Linked DNA regions of Mus musculus. Each later gene encodes a partner of the first gene's protein in a complex. Each region holds a gene or a part of one and is shown in the gene's direction. Other genes may lie near its edges.

Region 1 (7,923 bases):
TATAGACCAGACTGGCCTTAAACTCACAAAGATCCATCTGCCTCTGCCTAATGGGAGCTGGGATTAAAGGTGTGCACATCCCACCCAGTTGTTTTGATTTTATATATGAGCTGCTAGGAGTGGAACCCAGGGCCATGCACTAAACCACATCCCTAGCTCTCGCTGACTGTTTTGGCCCTGTTCTGATTTCATGCACATGCTGTCCTTTAAATCATGACCCCAGCAGTTTCCACCCAAGATATTTTGGGATGCTCTAACTGTGTCCCTTTCCTTGGGGGTCCGGGTTGGGGTGTTATCCTCTTGAGGCTGCCTGATCATCTATGGAACTACAGCCTGGCTGCAGATCAGTTCGCACATTCCCATGTTCATCTCTGTATGCTTCTAGGAGACCCAGGAGCTGCAGAAGAAGCAGCAATGGTACCAGGAGAACCAGGTAACCCTGACGCCGGAGGATGAAAACCTGTACCTGAGCTACTGTTCTCAGGCCATGTTCCGCATCCGAATCTTGGAACAGCGGCTCAATCGGTAAGGGGCAGAGCCGGGAGGACTCCTGGGAGCACTCTGATAGCTTGGATATCCCTCACCTTCTCCTCCCTCCCTCTGCTCAGGCACAAAGAGCTGGCTCCACTGAAGTACCTGGCGCTGGAGGAAAAGCTCTACAAAGACCCACGCTTAATAGACTTCGTAAAAGTCTTTGTTTGATGGCCCCTCCTGGAACTACGGCAGACCCTGCCAGAGAATGGAGTCTCTCCCTTCTCCCCAACCACTATGATCCTATACTAGCCTCGCTGCCACACTACCTCCCTATCCCTCATAGCCTCCCTCAAATAAATGCATTTCCTGTTTGCCATTTATACTTCAGTGTTTACAAGCTCCAATCTACACCACCCTAAATCTTTTTCTGTCATCTTCTCTTCTGGATTATCAAGTGTTGGCTCTCCAGATGGTTCCATGGTCACCTGCCAAGATCTGCTGAGAGCTCAATGTGTTGATGGTGGAGCAGCTCCTAAAGTGAGAGCGGCTTAGCTAAGGAACACACCCCAGGACCAGGCGGCTTGATATTAGAGGACAAGAGACAGAATCCAAGTTCCTCTTTCATTTACCACCTGTGAAATGGGGCTATCCATGTTTCCTGAAGTAAGACTTAAAAAGCAGAGAAAACTGGGTATAGTAGCCCATGCCTGTAATCTAAGCAGGAGGATCAGAGTTTAAGATCTGTCTCATCTACATAAGGAATCTGTTTCAACTACATGGGTCACATGAAGCTCTGTTTAAAAAAAAAAATAAACAAAAAATAAAAGGGACTGGAGAGATGGCACTGACTGCTCATCCAGAGGTCCTGAGTTCAATTCCCAGCAACCACATGGTGGCTCACAACCATCTGTAATAAGATGCCCTCTTCGGGTGTGTCTGAAGACAGCAACAGTGTATTCATATACACATAAATAATTAAAACAAGAAGGAGGAGGAGGAAGAGGAAGAGGAGGGGAAGGAGGAGGAGAGAAGAAGAAGAAGAAGAAGAAGAAGAAGAAGAAGAAGAAGAAGAAGAAGAAGAAGAAGAAGAAGAGAAAAGAAAAGAAAAGAAAAGAAAAGAAGAAGAAAAGAAGGAAAGAAGAAGAAGAAGGAGAAGAAGAAGAAGAAAAGAAGACCTTGCCTGTAATCTTCTCCAGGGCATGACACACTCAAGACAGGTCTCACAGCGGCTGTGGTTGCCTGTACTACCTGGGCCAGTGGTTAGGCAATCATGTATCAGGGAGGGACTCCTGGGGCTCTCTTCTTGTTGAATTACTGGCTGCTGCTGAATTCCGGTTGCGGGGCAGTCATTGTTTTCACTCAAAGATGAGCCCAGTAAGCTTTAATGCATAGTTCCAAACCCATGGTTAAAGCCAGGGGTGCATGCTCATGTGGTAGCCCATGCCTTTAATGCCAGCTCTTCATCTCTGTCAGTCCAAGGCCAGCCTGATCTACAAAGTGAGACCCTGATACAGAGGGAGGAGAGAAGAGAGAGAGGAAGGGTAGTGGGAGATCCAAGAGACAGAAATAGGATGATCTTAGAAGAGTCAAGTATGCCAAGAGTGCAGAATCTTGTCTGGTTCCTATAAAGATACTGTGCCCCGCCCCCCACATGTGTGGTGTGTGTGTACACATGTCCCATTGTATCACTATGCATTGTCCTCTGACATTCTTCACCTTATTCCCTCGAGTCAGGGTCTCTCACTGAACCCGTAGTTAGGATGACAACCAACAATCTTAGTAATCCTCTTGTTTCTGCTCCCTATAACACTGCTCCTTATAAGCACACATGCACCATGCCCAGATTTTTACATGGGTCGTGAGGATTTGAACTCAGGTCTTCATTCTTGCACTGCAATCACTCTTAGCCACTGAGCCTTGCCATTTCTCTTGGTCCTAGGTAGTTTGTATTTCCAGTGCTGGGGATTGAACCTAGTGCCTCCTACATACCAGTCAAGACTCTCTTATCACTGAGCTACATCCCCAGTCTTGTTCCTGCTTATAAGTTATGTGTATTGGGGATGGTGACAGTCATTTTAATATAGTCTGCATGTTAGAGAATGAAGTTATTTCAGGGGTGGTGACATTGGTTATGTGACTAAGGGCCCTTAACGATCTTCAGGCTCAGTGTTGCCATGACTGAAATGTCTTAGGATCTGTAATGTACATATAATTGTATAAACAAAGCAGATAAGGCAAAATGTGTCAAAATGAAGAATTTGACTTTTTTTTTTAAATAAAAAGTTGCGGGAACAGCAAAGTACAAAGTTTTGATCAAATGTTATTCTCCAAATCCAGGTCTCTTAATAATTACCCATTTCTACGCAGGGCCGACTTCCCATTAGGCTGGTGGGTGACTTTTGTTCCCGTAAAGGTTTTGCATTTAATAGGGACTTTGTGTGCCTTGCCTTTAAGAACAAAAGTTTAAGTCCTGGGTCCGATCTTCCAAATGTCTGGTCTTTTTCACCACAGCATCTGTTTCCTCGTCTAGAAATGGGAAATTCCTCCCGTTCCGGACTGTGTAGAGGAGAACGCCAGATGCAGCAGCCCCGACCAGAGGGGAGTGAGTGTAGGATAGACCAGAGTTGGAGGTTATTTCTGCAAAGGGCTGGGACCGAGTTTCTCAGTAAGGGGGGGACCCGAACTCATGGTGGGTTATGTAGCCTGTCCCCATCCCAACCTGTCTGTCCTGTCACAGATATTAGCCTTTCTCCGGTTCCGTAGTTTTACTTCCGCACGCAGGCGAGCAGACACAAGCCTAACTCATCCCACTGTGCTACTGTGATCTTAGGGACGAACTCCTGGGCTCGACATCGACCCCACTGTAACTAAGCTCTGTTTCCCTCGAGGTCAGCGAACTCCAGGAGACGTGTGGATCCAAGTAAGAGCCAAGTCCTCCCACTACGCGGGCGACACTCACAGTCTGAGGGCGGGGTCCTGGCAGCCCTGTTTCAATATGGAAGATCTGCAACTTCATACCACTCTAGAAGTCCCCTTTCCATTGGCTATCTCAGAGCTGGTTCTCCAATAACACTAACGTTTATTGGTCAATCCAGAGCTGTTGCTGAAGTGATTGGCGCAGCCGCCATCGGGTGCAGCTCGCGGATTTTTTAAACACAACCGGGTTCCAGGAAATGCAGGAAAAGGGCGGAAAAAACCAAGCCTGACTGGGGGCGGGACTAAGAACGCAGAAGCCTGTATTGGTTCTTCTGGGACCTAAGGGCGGTCCGTAAGCGCTTCTTTCTCGTGATTAGTCTGAGTCGGGGAAAGGAGGCGGGTAGTTACGTAAATCGGCGGAAGCGCTTGCTTCCATTGGTCAATTCTAGAGGAAGGCGGGGCGTCCGTGGCGACTGATTGGTGTAAGAAGTGAAGTGGGAGGGACTCTAGGCCGGAGGTTTTGTTGTGAGGGTCGGTTGTCAAGCAGCGACCAATCAGGGCAAAGGATGGAGGCAAGTGGGGGTCGCGCCTGGAGGGAAGCCTTGGCCTCCAGAGCTACAGCTGCAGGTAGAGTGGCTCTCGGGGTCTTGGAGGCAAAGGGAAAATGGCTCTAGTCTTCGCCGAGCCTGGAGGGGACAGTCCGGTCGCCGGCAGGAGGCTCTCGGCCAGGACAGGCTGGAGCCAGTGCCCCTCAAGGCAGACGGGAGGAGGGTCAAGCGAAGCTGAGGGACCGGTGGCAGGTTTGGGATGAACGAGCAGGACGGGTGTGTGGAGGCCGGAGAGGGAAAGCTGGTGGGCCGGAAGCAGAGCTGAGGGTGTGCGGAGGATCGTATTGAGTCGGGGCTCCAGAAACAGGAGAGCGAATGAATGGGGGATTCTGATAGCAGCGGGGCAAGAGAAGTAAAGAGGGTCTGGCGAAGCATGGCCAACTAAGGAAGCTCAAGATGTGCCAGAACGGGAGCATAGGCAACAGGAGAAAGAGAATCCAGCGAGAGAGCTCCTGGGCAAGAGGCGAAGGGCCGTGGCGGCGGTGGAAGGCTCCATCCACGCTGTGGCCTTTTAGAATTGAGGAGTCATTCCGACTCACACCTAGACTGGAGACTCAATTCCTAGCTATGCCCTTGAGAGTTGCAGGGAGTGGGCGTGGTTCCCTTACCAGGGAGTTGGTGATGGAGGAAGCAAGAAGATTGGACCCTCAGAATCCTCTCAACATCACCCCCTCCCAAGGCCTTTACTGTTCTCTCTCTCTCTCTCTCTCTCTCTCTCTCTCTCTCTCTCTCTCTCTGAACGTCTGCCTATCTCTCAGTCTCTCTGTTCGTCTCCGTGTATCTCTCTGTCTCTCTGCCTTTTGGATGCCTCTCATGGGCACCAAAACATAACCTCAGACTCCAGTGCCCCATCCAATACATGGGGTGCAAATCCAAGTGGACTGCAGTTATGTGATCCTCTCTGCCCCATAGCAGGTGCTGGGTTGGCAAGTTAGGACACCCAGCATCCAGGAGCATTACTGTAGGCCCCTGAGAAGTCAGTCTCTCCATCCCCTCTCCACCTACCTATGTCAGTCTGTCCTTCCTTCCTTCCTTCCTTCTTTTCTTTGAGATAGGAACTGACAGAGATCTGCCTACTTCTAGCTGGCCTCCTGAGTGCTGGGGTTAAAGGCGTGAGCCACCAGGCCCAGCTACCTAGGGAAGGTCTTTTATCTTTGGGCTCTTAAGTCACAGGTTTTCAGACCCAGTGTGCACTGCAGCTCCAGGCCCTGGAGGCTCTGGCTAGTCTGTATCAAGTGGCCTTGATGACCCAGGGACTTGTAACTCGTCTCAAGCAGTTCCTAACCCACCATCGCCTCTGCTTGCATTCTAGCCCAGTGTTGAGCTGAGATGGTCCAAGCCTGACATTCCATGATCTGGGATCCCGACCTATGTGTCCAGGCTGCTGCTTGATAGCGGATGATCTAAACCACCAGGCAGTCCTGGGCCAGGAGAGGCGGACTCTCTGCCTGGATGTGTGGGAACTCCCTGCCAACTTGATTGTCGGATCTGGGGGGGATCCACCCCCACCCCACAGAGAAAGCACAATCTGTTTTGTGGGTGGGGTCTCAGGCGCCACCCCCTGAAGCATGGCCACCCCTGTGGTCACCAAGACAGCCTGGAAGTTGCGTGAGTACTTTTCATTTATCACCCTGTTGTTTTGTAAGCTGAGTAGTCTTAGCCTTCAGCTCTGTCTCCTCTCCCTGGCACAAGAGAGACTCACAGTCCTTGTTTTCAGGTAGACAAAGATGTCAATCACATTGGGCAGGTGATTAAGCAACCCTTCCATACAGCAAGATAAGCACAGCTGTGCTTGGTACTTGCTCTGAGATTCAGGTGAGATCTGTCTGGTCAAGCTGAAGAGCGGAGTGTTGCGAGGAAGGCTGAAAGGCGGTCCAAGAACCCCAGACATGTCCCAGGTCCCTTTTCCTCCATCAGATGCAAGGATCTTGGGATGTGGATGGAGGGGAGGTTGCCCAAAGATGCTGGCAGGGCTCTGAAGTGAAATCAAGCAAAAATAGTTCAGAATTCTTTAGCCTAAACTCTCTTAGATTCTTTTCCTTTGTTGAGATAGGGCATCCCTGTAGCCTTTGCTGGCTTGGGACATGTTCTTCTGCCTCCTGTGTGCTGGGATTAAAGGACTGTGCCACAATGCCTGGCTCTTTCATTTTGTTTTTTTGTTTATTTGTTTGTTTGTTTTTCTTTTTCTTTTCTTTTTTTTTCGAGACAGGGTTTCTCTGTGTAGCCCTGGCTGTCCTGGAACTCACTCTGTGGACCAGGCTGGCCTCGAACTCAGAAATCTGCCTGCCTCTGCCTCCCGAGTGCTGGGATTAAAGGTGTGCATCACCACTGCCTGGCACCTGGCTCTTTCACATTCCTAAACATTATTGACGACTCCAAAAGGCTTTCATTTATGAAAGTCACACTTACCCATATATTCTGTTAGAAAACAGTACTGAGACAGATGTGCACTCAAACCTGACAGGAGTGACGATGTCATCACACGTGTGTCTTCTCAACGGCTCCTCTGGAGCGAGTGAGAGCACCCAAGGCAATACCATCCTAGCATTTCAGACAGTAGCTCCGTTCTTTCGGATCCTCTAAAAGGCTCTGGAGGATCCCTAGATCAGGCCTGGAGGACCTTCATCTCACCTCTGTGGCTTTCTCTCCAGCCGTAGCTGGTTGTCGTAGGTTTGGTGTGCTGTCCCCGGGCTGTTTTCAGGAGCAGATGAGGAGACTTTGGGCAAAGCTGTTTTGGTGACTCAGTCTCCTCATTGAGAGATTGAGATCATTTTTAAGTTGTCCCCCAAAGCTGTAAGGTTCTGGGAGGACCCTGTTCATGGCAACTTTTGGCAGAGTAGCTTTATGTCAATTGGCATTATGCATCTTTAATGGCTTACCCTACCTGAAGGTAGAAGCTGATGCGAGGGAGCAAGTGAGGGCCAAAGTATCCAAGGTCACTGCATAGTGGGAGCTCAGCCCGGAGAGAGCCACAGCTGTCTGTTTCCAGTCCTGCTCTAATTCTGAGTGTGCGTGCTTGCATGTGCTTGCGTGTGTGTGTGTGTGTGTGTGTGTGTGTGTGTGTGTGGTCAGTTAATTACTGATGAGGGTAGAGGGTGCATGAGCAGCGAGTGCAAAGGCCCGAAACAGGAAGCTTTATATGTTGGAAAGACTTACAGGAAATCACAGAGCTTTCACACATCAGCAGGTGAGAAAGGGTTACCATGGAAACCTAGTGAGTTGTGCAGGGGCACATGTCCACAAGACCCTTGTTACTAAAGATCTAAGCATCAAAGTGTTTGAGCAGCAGGCAGTAGTATGATCAGGTATGTTGAGGATCTGAGAGTTTCTGGTGCACAAAGGTTTTGGGGTATATAGCCTGAGGCCACACAGGCTGGGGCTTCTCGGGGCTTCAGGGTGTGATGAGGCTCAGAAGACTCTTTAACCAGTGTAGGGTTGCTGCACCGCTGTCCCCTGTATCTTCCTCCTAGGATGTAAGTCCTTAGCACTTGTGGGCAGACAGAGAGTGATCCTCAGTTTCGGCTGAGGTATGCCAGTTCGGCTGAACTGCTGGTGTCTGGGGAGGTGCTGTTAGCTTTTGCTGGAGGAAGAGCCGCAGCCGTCATCTGGTCTGTAGGAGACATTGAGGAATTTGATTTGTTTGCATAAAAATCCAGCACCCACACGTGGGCCATTGCTGCTCGGTGTTCTCCCATTCAACCCCCCACTCCCTGCCTGTGACTCTGCCTGTTCCAGGCCTTGCCCTGGATCCATCTGATGCCCCTGGAGCCTAAGGGCAGGAAGCTCTCCTTCCACAGCCTCCTGTGCCGGCCTAGAGCAGATGTCTAGAAGCCTCTTCTGTTAGACCGCCACAGCTGTCTCTAGAGGTGGCCCTGAGGCCTGTTGAGATGGGGACTCAACCAGATCTCTCACTCTCTGCCTGGGG
Region 2 (7,923 bases), on another chromosome or scaffold:
TTCAATATGTTAGGCATGATATCCAACGTAATTTTGCCTCCTGGAGCAAGAGACAGTAAGCAAACATTGTCAGGAGTTTACCCTTTATGGCCATTCCCCTCCTGTGCAATTCCAGAGGTCACACCTCTCTGAGAAGCCACCCTGTTTTCCCTTTCCTCCAAGTTACTTCTTCTTTTAGCTGCAAATGTATCCTCCTTTTGCTACATAATCTATACCTTCACTTGAACACTTTCCACTTTTCCTTTGCTTAGTTAATAAAGTGTAACTCTTTGGCTAGCACCCACCTTTCTACCTCTTTCCCTGTAGCTTCTCAGTTCACATTAGTCTGGCTGTTCACCAGAAAAAAAAAATACAGTCTCATTTCCTAAGCCCCACTTGAGATCCACTTGTTTGAGCAATAGCTAGTGAAGCAGTAATGGCTCCTATGCACTCTCTCCAGAGGACACTGCAGAGTCGCACATGTCTGTTCCTTTGAAGTTAGACTGACCACATGATTTTCTAGGGTAATGAAATGTGAGGGCAACTGACATGTATTCTATCCAGACGGAAGCTATGCAATCCTTCCTTTCTTTCCTTCCTTTCTTTCCTTCCTTCCTTCCTTCCTTCCAGTCCTCCCTCCCTCCCTCCCTCCCTCCCTCCCTCCCTCCCTCCCTCCCTCCCTCCCTCCCTCCCTTCCTCCCTTCCTTCCTTCCTTCCTTCTCCTCCTCTTCTCCTCTTCTTCCTTATTCCTTTCCCTTCTCTTTCTCCTCCTTTGAGACGGGGTATCTCTATGTAACTTTGGCTGTCCTAGATCTTGTTATATAGACCAGGATGGCTCAAACTCATAGGGATCCTCCTGTCTCTGCCTCCTGAGAGTGCTGGGATCAAAGGTGTGTATCACCATATCCCTAGCCCCAGTCCTAGTCTGGGCTACTGTTACTGTGATAAAACACCACAACCAAAAGCAAGTTGGGGAGGAAAGGGTTGGGCTTATACTTCCACTTTATAGTCTATCACTGGAGGAAGCCAGGACAGGAACTCAAACAGGGCAGGAACCTGGAGGCAGGAGCTGATGCAGAGGCCATGGAGTAAGCTGATGCTTACTGGCTTGCTCCTCATGGCTTGCTCAGTCTGCTTTTTCATAGAACCTAGGACCGCAAGCCCAGGGATGGCCCTACCAACAATGGCCTGAGTCTTCCCATATTAATTACTAATTAAGAAAATCTCCTACAGTTGGATCTTATGATCTTTCTCAACTGAGGCTCCCTCCTTTCAGATGACTCTAGCTTGTGTCAAGTTGACAAAAAACTATACAGGACCCTTTATTTTTACTTTTATGGGTTCTAGTGATTGCATGCATCCAGCTGTGAGCTGGTGAGCTGGATGGAGCTAGGAAGAGCTGGGATGCAGCTCTATATAGAACTGGACTCAGCACTGCAAAAGTAAAAAGGCAAAGTAGGTCAGCAGAAAATTGTGTGACCGCACTTAGGAAACGGAGGCAGGAGGATTCCCCCTTGAGTTTGAGGTGACCATGGGTTATTTATTGTGATTCTATCTTCTAAAAAAAGAGAAGTTTGAAATCTCTGTGGTTTAAGGGTAACTATAACTGTTTGTTGTTTAATTGTACAAGTAAGTAAATAGAAGTAGTCACTGTGTCTTAGGGTTTCATTGCTGTGAAGAGACACCATGACCACGGCAGCTCTTATAAAGGTGAACATTTAATTGGAGCATGCTTACAGGTTCACGGGTTCAGTCCATTCTCATCATGGAAGTTTCCAGGCAGGCATGGCTGGAGGATCTGAGAGTTGTAAACCTTGTTTCAAAGGCAAACAGGAGAAGACTACTGTCTTCCAGGTAGCTAGGAGGAGTGTCTCAAAGCCCATCCCCACAGTGGCACATTTCCTCCAACAAGGCCACACCTACTCCAATAAGGCTATGTCTCCTAACAGTACCACTTTCCTGGGCCAAACATATTCAAACCACCACACACTGTAAGTCACCTTTTGGGGGTTTGTCTTTCTATTTCAAACATTTTCACTGACGCCAGGCACAGAAGCCCATGGCTGTAATGGGGACTCTTAAGAGCAGAGAAACTATGAGTCTGAGGTCAACCTGGGGTATGTGATAAGTTCCAGGCTAGGAGAGGTTATAGAGTGAGACTTTGTCTTGAAACAGCAACAAACAGGTATGTGGGAGTAGGTGGATGGGTGGAGGAACATCCTCATAGAAGCAGGGGGAGGGAGGATGGGATAGGGGGTTTCCTGGGGGCCAGGGTGGGAAAGGGGATAACATTTGAATTGTAAGTAAAGAAAATATCTGGATGGCTCAGCGGTTAAGAGCACCGACTGCTCTTCCAGAGACCTTGAGTTCAATTCCCAGCAACCACATGGTGGCTCACAACCACCTGTAATGGGATCTGATGCTCTCTTCTGGTGTGTCAGAAGACAGTTACAGTGTACTCATATACATATAATAAATAATTCTTAAAAGAAAAGAAAATATCCAAGGAAAAAACAACAACAAAACATCACTGAGGTATAATTTACATAAACTCAAATTACAACTTTCATTTCATGTGTAAAACTGTACACCTGGGAAGACATCTCCACTACAGAACATCATTCCCAACTCCTAACTAACTCCCACCCGGATACTTCTGATTAGTTACTACAGATTCATCCTGTAGGTTCTAGGATTTCCTATATATTTAAGTATACCATATACATTCATTTTGCACCTTTGAGAAGCTTTTAAATTATAATCCGGTTTTATAAATTAACAGGCCTTTGCATTTGTATAGATTATAAATCCATCTCTTGGAGTAATTGATCTATATCTCTCTAAGTGGTCTTTTTTATTCTTGCTGATGTGCTGATTATAGTTTTCTGTGCTCTGTGACACTAACGTTCACATCTACTAGAGCAGAAAATATATTTTCTATTTTTGGTGAAAAATTTAGAAGACTTTAAACCCTGTAAAACATTATTTCATATATGCAGTGGCTTGCCTGCATGCATGTATGTGTACCAGTTTGTGCCCTGTGTTTTGTGATATAGGAAGAGGGTGATGGATCACCTGGAATTGGAAATAAAATCTCACCCCTTAGCATGTCTTGAGAGTATTCGCGTTACCCTGACACATGGGTCCCAGGCTTCATAATCCTAAGTACCGGGCTCTAAAGCAAGATTTGTCATAAACGAATTGCTTGAGCACTGACACTCACCTGTAAGAGAGCCCCTGACCTCCTAACCTCAGAGCAGCTTAGTGTAAATCTCCTGCTAAGGCAGAGTGAAGAAGCCCTGGGAAGAGATAATGGTCCACAGAGTAAGTACTGAAGTAGGCGGGGTATTGCCAAGTCCTTCGCCCCGCCTACTTTCCTTCCCCACGCCTACTCCCATTTCCTAGCCGCGGCGCACAGTGCGCAGAAGCACCCCGAGCTCGGCCACGCCCCTCCGCAGGTTCCGCCTGCGCGCGCACGCCCGTAGAGCACGCACTTCCGGGGCGTGTCCCCGCCGGTGCGGGAACTATCCTTTTAAGAGGGGCTTTCCCGGTTTCATTTCAACTTGGTCCCGACCCGGAGCTGCGGCGGGTAGCCTGGGCTGCGCTAGGTGAGTGCTCGGGCCTCCAGGCTCCCTGTTCCGCCCCCGCGACACCCGACCAGGGAACGCGTTCGAAGCTTTCACGCCCCCATCCCGAAACTTCCGCCTTGTAAAATCCCCAGAGCCTGGAGGTTGGGGTTCAGCTTCTTTTCGTACAGTTTGTTAGGTTGGAGTTGTACTGCTTTCTGGTGGCTTACTTCTTTCTGTTGTTTCTCCTTTGTGTTGGCCTTTGTTTTTAGTTTTAGATTTATTGCTATTGTTGAGTATGGTGTAGATGTGGGCGCGTGAGTGGAGGTCAGAGGACAACTCTCTGGGGTCGCTTCCCTCCATCCGCCTTTACGAGGGTCCCAGAGTTGAACTCGGGTAGCCCGGCATGCTGGGCAAATGCCTCTACCTGCTGAGCCCCCTCACCGGCGTTTGTTGTTTTGTTTTTGTTGCTTTTAAAGGTGATAATATTGACGTTCTTTCTCTCTCTCCCTGGCTGTTCTGGATCTCGCTCTGTAGACCCGACTAGCCTTCCTTTACCTCCTGGCGCTGGGATTAAAGGTGTGTGCAACCACGCCACTCTTGGGGTTAGTTTCTTAATCTGAGAGCCTAGTGTTCTCATGAAAGCTTTTGGCTTTTTTGATTTGGCGCTGTGGAGAAAATTTATCCCAGGAAGCATTTGTTTCATTCAGTATGTGGGTTCAGTGGCATACAAACGAAAACTTGTCTTTCTTTCTTTCCTTTCCTTTCTTCTTTCTCTTTTTTCTCTTCTCTTTTCTTCTCCCTCTCTTCTCCCTCTCTTCTCCCTCTCCTCTCCCTCTCCTCTCTCCCTCCCCCTCCCCTCCCCCTCCTCTCCTCTTTCTTTTCTTTCCTTTCCTCTCTTTCTCTTTCTCTTTCTTCTCTTTCTCTTTCTCTCTCTCTCTCTCTCTCTCTCTCTCTCTCTCTCTCTCTCTCTCTCTTTCTCTTTCTCTTTCTCTTTCTCTTTCTCTTTCTCTTTCTCTTCTTCTCTCTCCTCTCCCTCTCCTCTTTCTTCAGTGTCTCTTGTAGCCAGAGCTGGTCCTTAACTCCGGATCCTTTTGCCTCTGCCTTGTACTGCGTGTAGGCTAGGCTTGTAACTGTTGCCAGCCCTTATTTGTTTATTTATTTATAGACAGTGTCCTTTGTAGCCTAAACTGGCCTGAACTTCTGAAACTCTTGCTTCTGCCTGGTACTGGGATTACAGGCGGCTACACTTCCCCCAGTTCAAGCTTTTATTTAGTAATCATTAGTACTTTTTATGTAATTAGCTCCCAAGAGAACAGTGATGCCTGCCTGCCTTTCTTTTCTCTTTTCTTTTCTTTTCTTTTCTTTTCTTTTCTTTTCTTTTCTTTTCTTTCTTTCTTTCTTTCTTTTTTTGTTTGTTGGTTTGTTTTTTTGTTTTTCGAGACAGGGTTTCTCTGTGTAGCCCTGGCTGTCCTGGAGACCAGGACTGGCCTCGAACTCAGAAATCTGCCTGCCTCTGACTCCCAAATGCTGGGATTACAGGCATGTGCCACCACTGCCCGGCTGATGCTCGTTTTCCTTGACGGTACAAGTGTACAAGGCAGTATAGAGCAGAGGCAAGAGGATCCGATGCTGGAGTGACTGGGAAGTAAAACAAAAATAACCCTACCATATTCTTTCCACAAAACCTAAAAAGGAATTTCAAAGTCTAATTTCTTTTTGTCTTTATCATAATTCCATAATTGCTACACAGTCACTACTATTTTCTTTTAAATATTTTTTTACTCTTTGAAAATTTCATGTATTTACACCATGTATGTTGATTGTATCCCTTCAACACTACCTCCAACACCACCCCAAGTGTTTCCATCTCCCCAACTTCAGATCCTATGTTGTTTTATTAATAAATTCCCATTGTTATTAATAAGCCTTTGAGACCAGTTAGTGTTGTCTGTGTGTACATGGGTGGCCAGCCGGCCAGCGTCTGTGGCTCATAGGACTGTGACTGTTCTTGTCAGCCATTGACTGCCAATAACTAATTCCTCATATTCTAGAGGTAAATTTCCTGAAATTACTTGTGTGTCTCTAGTACATTTGAGGGTGCTTTGCCAGCCTGCGTTCAACTCCTGAAACCAGGAGGGTCTACTCCACACGGTTACTTGTCCTCTGACCTGCACATGCACTGTGCCACACACTTTTTTTTTTTTTTTTTTCAAGACAGGGTTTCTCTTTATAGCCCTGGCTGTCCTGGAACTCACTTTGTAGACCAGGCTGGCCTCGAACTCAGAAATCCGCCTGCCTCTGCCTCCCAAGTGCTGGGATTAAAGGAGTGCGCCATCATGCCTGGTTTGCCACACACTTTTTGTTTTTTCTTAGAAAGAAAGTCTATTGCTAGTATTTCCTCCTTGTGTATATATTTGAAACAGACTGTCATATAGTCCAGGCTGGCTCTGCAGCCGGTGATGACCTCTGCCTTCACTACCTCAGCTGCTCATCTCCTTTTGTCTTTTTATCTTCAAAGCAATTCTTTTAAAATGTGGTGCTCAACCGGGCGTAGTGGTGCGAGCCTTTAATCCCAGCACTTGGGAGGCAGAGGTAGGCGGATTTCGGAGTCCGAGGCAAGCCTGGACTACAAAGTTGAGTTCCAGGACAGCCAGAGCTATACAGAGAAACCCTGTCTCAAAAAACAAAAACAAAACAAAAAGAAAAACAAACAAAACCATGGTGCTCTGTAAATGGTTCTTGAATGATTAACCTGTGCATGGTTAGAGTAAAAATAGCAGTTCTCAGTGGAGTCCAGCCTTACATACCTTTAGAAATTAGACAGCTATGATGTCCTGTTCAGATGTGGACAGGCTATGTCGACCTATGTATATGTGGACCAGGACCAGGGAGGGCCTCATGTGAGGCTGGTGGTTAGATCTTAGTGCTCAGTACTTGGATTTGCTGCCTCTTCTGGAGCTCTTTAGTTACTGGTTTTTCCAGTTGTACATGGGCGTGTGGGTGTGGGTGTGTGGGTGTGTGGGTGGGGGTATTTCATCTCTTTGTAGAGGAACTTGTGCAGATATTAAGATTGCTTGATACAGCTGTGACTTTTTTGCATGTAATTAAATTTCTGCTTAAATTAAAAAATTTCCTGCTGTGGCTTGTTGGCCACAATTATACTTGTCTTGTAAACAGAGTGTTGGGTAGTGTAAAGGAAGGCTTGAGTAAGATGAAGCAGCAGATTGTCTTTCTAAGAGCTAAGATTCTCAATCTTGAGGCAACTGGGTTTTTTGGGGGGGGTGTTTACATTAACCTTGAGCCAGTGGGTACCGTTTATAACTAATAGTAGTTAAAATCTTGTCTATTAGCTTTTCCCCCTTTATAGACCCTTCCTCAAATTCTGCCAGGTACTATGCTAGGTAAACCCAGTTTCTGTTCTTCTGCAGTGGAATTTGAGCAATGATAATGGAAACTGAAGAATGTCAAAAATACAGATGTTAATATTCTGGCTTAGATAATGTTGGAGTAATAGAAAAATGATGATTTTTAATCTAACTTTTAGTGAAATAAGAGTGCTTTGTCAGTATATCCATAAACACTTTGGGTTTCGTTTTGTTCTGATTTGGTTTTTTTGTTTTTGTTTTGTTTTTGTTTTTTGAGACAGGGTTTCTCTGTGTAGCCCTGGCTGTCCTGGAACTCACTCTGTAGACCAGGCTGGCCTTGAACTCAGAAATCTGCCTGCCTCTGCCTCCCTAGTGCTGGGACTAAAGACATGCGCCACCACACCCGGCTTGATTTGTTTTTTTGATAGCCAAGGACTGTGCATGCCATCTGTTAATGTAGCCTTGGACTGATGTTGCATTATTTGTTCGTTAGGAAAATATCAAGCTAGGCATGAAAGCTCACATCTGTAATCCTGCCATCTGGGAGGCTAAGCAAGAGAGCCACTGTGGTTCTAGGCCAACCAGAGCTAATGAAGTCCTTCCACTTCCCTCGCTGAAGAAATGAAACAGATTTGGCTCGAAAGGAATTTTATCTGACTAGAAAGAGAAATTCAAAACAGTATACCATTGAAGAAGGCTAGGAATAACTTCTTTGGGCTTTGAGCCCTGACCATGACCATCAAAAAAAAAGTCAGAGAGACCTGCTGCCTGGGCCATACAGATCTACTGTACACTTTCAGAGCTGACCAGACCTGGGCAGGTTCCTCTCTTTCAGTGCTGCTGCCCAGACTAGGCATTGCTATAGGGCAAAGAGAGTTTCAAGGCAGAAGTAATCACACAATAATCAAATGGGTCTGGAGAGATGCCTCAGTCTTCCAGAGGACCCAGGTTTGGTTTCCAGCTCCCATGTAGCTGCTACAAGCATCTGCGATTTCAGTGTTGGAATGTGA

Evidence for each region. The genes of interacting proteins can lie anywhere in the genome.
Region 2: the proteins of Katnb1 (region 1) and Katna1 are in contact, whole or in part, in a crystal structure (PDB 5OW5), measured with the Mus musculus proteins. Residues at the interface, in NP_083081.2 of Mus musculus: Leu485, Val486, Asp487, Glu488, Ala490, Met491, Gln493, Ile494, Arg495, Gly497, His498, Met501, Phe502, Val504, Leu505, Thr506, Arg508, His509, Leu512, Asp513, Val515, Arg516, Trp519, Thr521, Asp542, Leu543, Ile546, Gln549, Lys550, Leu553; in NP_035965.2 of Mus musculus: Leu5, Gln6, Ile8, Val9, Val12, Arg16, Ala19, Leu20, Leu21, Gly22, Tyr24, Tyr31, Tyr41, Leu50, Lys53, Trp54, Gln56, Val57, Glu60, Ile61, Val63, Glu64, Gln67, Val68, Asp70, Ile71, Thr74, Leu75, Ser77, Phe78.

The regions. Positions count from the first base shown.
Region 1 is NC_000074.6:95,077,288-95,085,210, forward strand, and holds the start of Katnb1 (katanin p80 WD40 repeat-containing subunit B1), read left to right. Parts: upstream 1-3,913; 5' UTR 3,914-4,017; exon of another isoform or gene 4,018-4,214; intron 4,215-5,310; 5' UTR 5,311-5,566; coding exon 5,567-5,606; intron 5,607-7,923. Other genes in the region: Drc7 (dynein regulatory complex subunit 7), read left to right, coding at 386-525, 609-702.
Region 2 is NC_000076.6:7,722,537-7,730,459, forward strand, and holds the start of Katna1 (katanin p60 ATPase-containing subunit A1), read left to right. Parts: upstream 1-3,463; 5' UTR 3,464-3,587; intron 3,588-7,923. UniProt on the Homo sapiens protein: Catalytic subunit of a complex which severs microtubules in an ATP-dependent manner. Microtubule severing may promote rapid reorganization of cellular microtubule arrays and the release of microtubules from the centrosome following nucleation.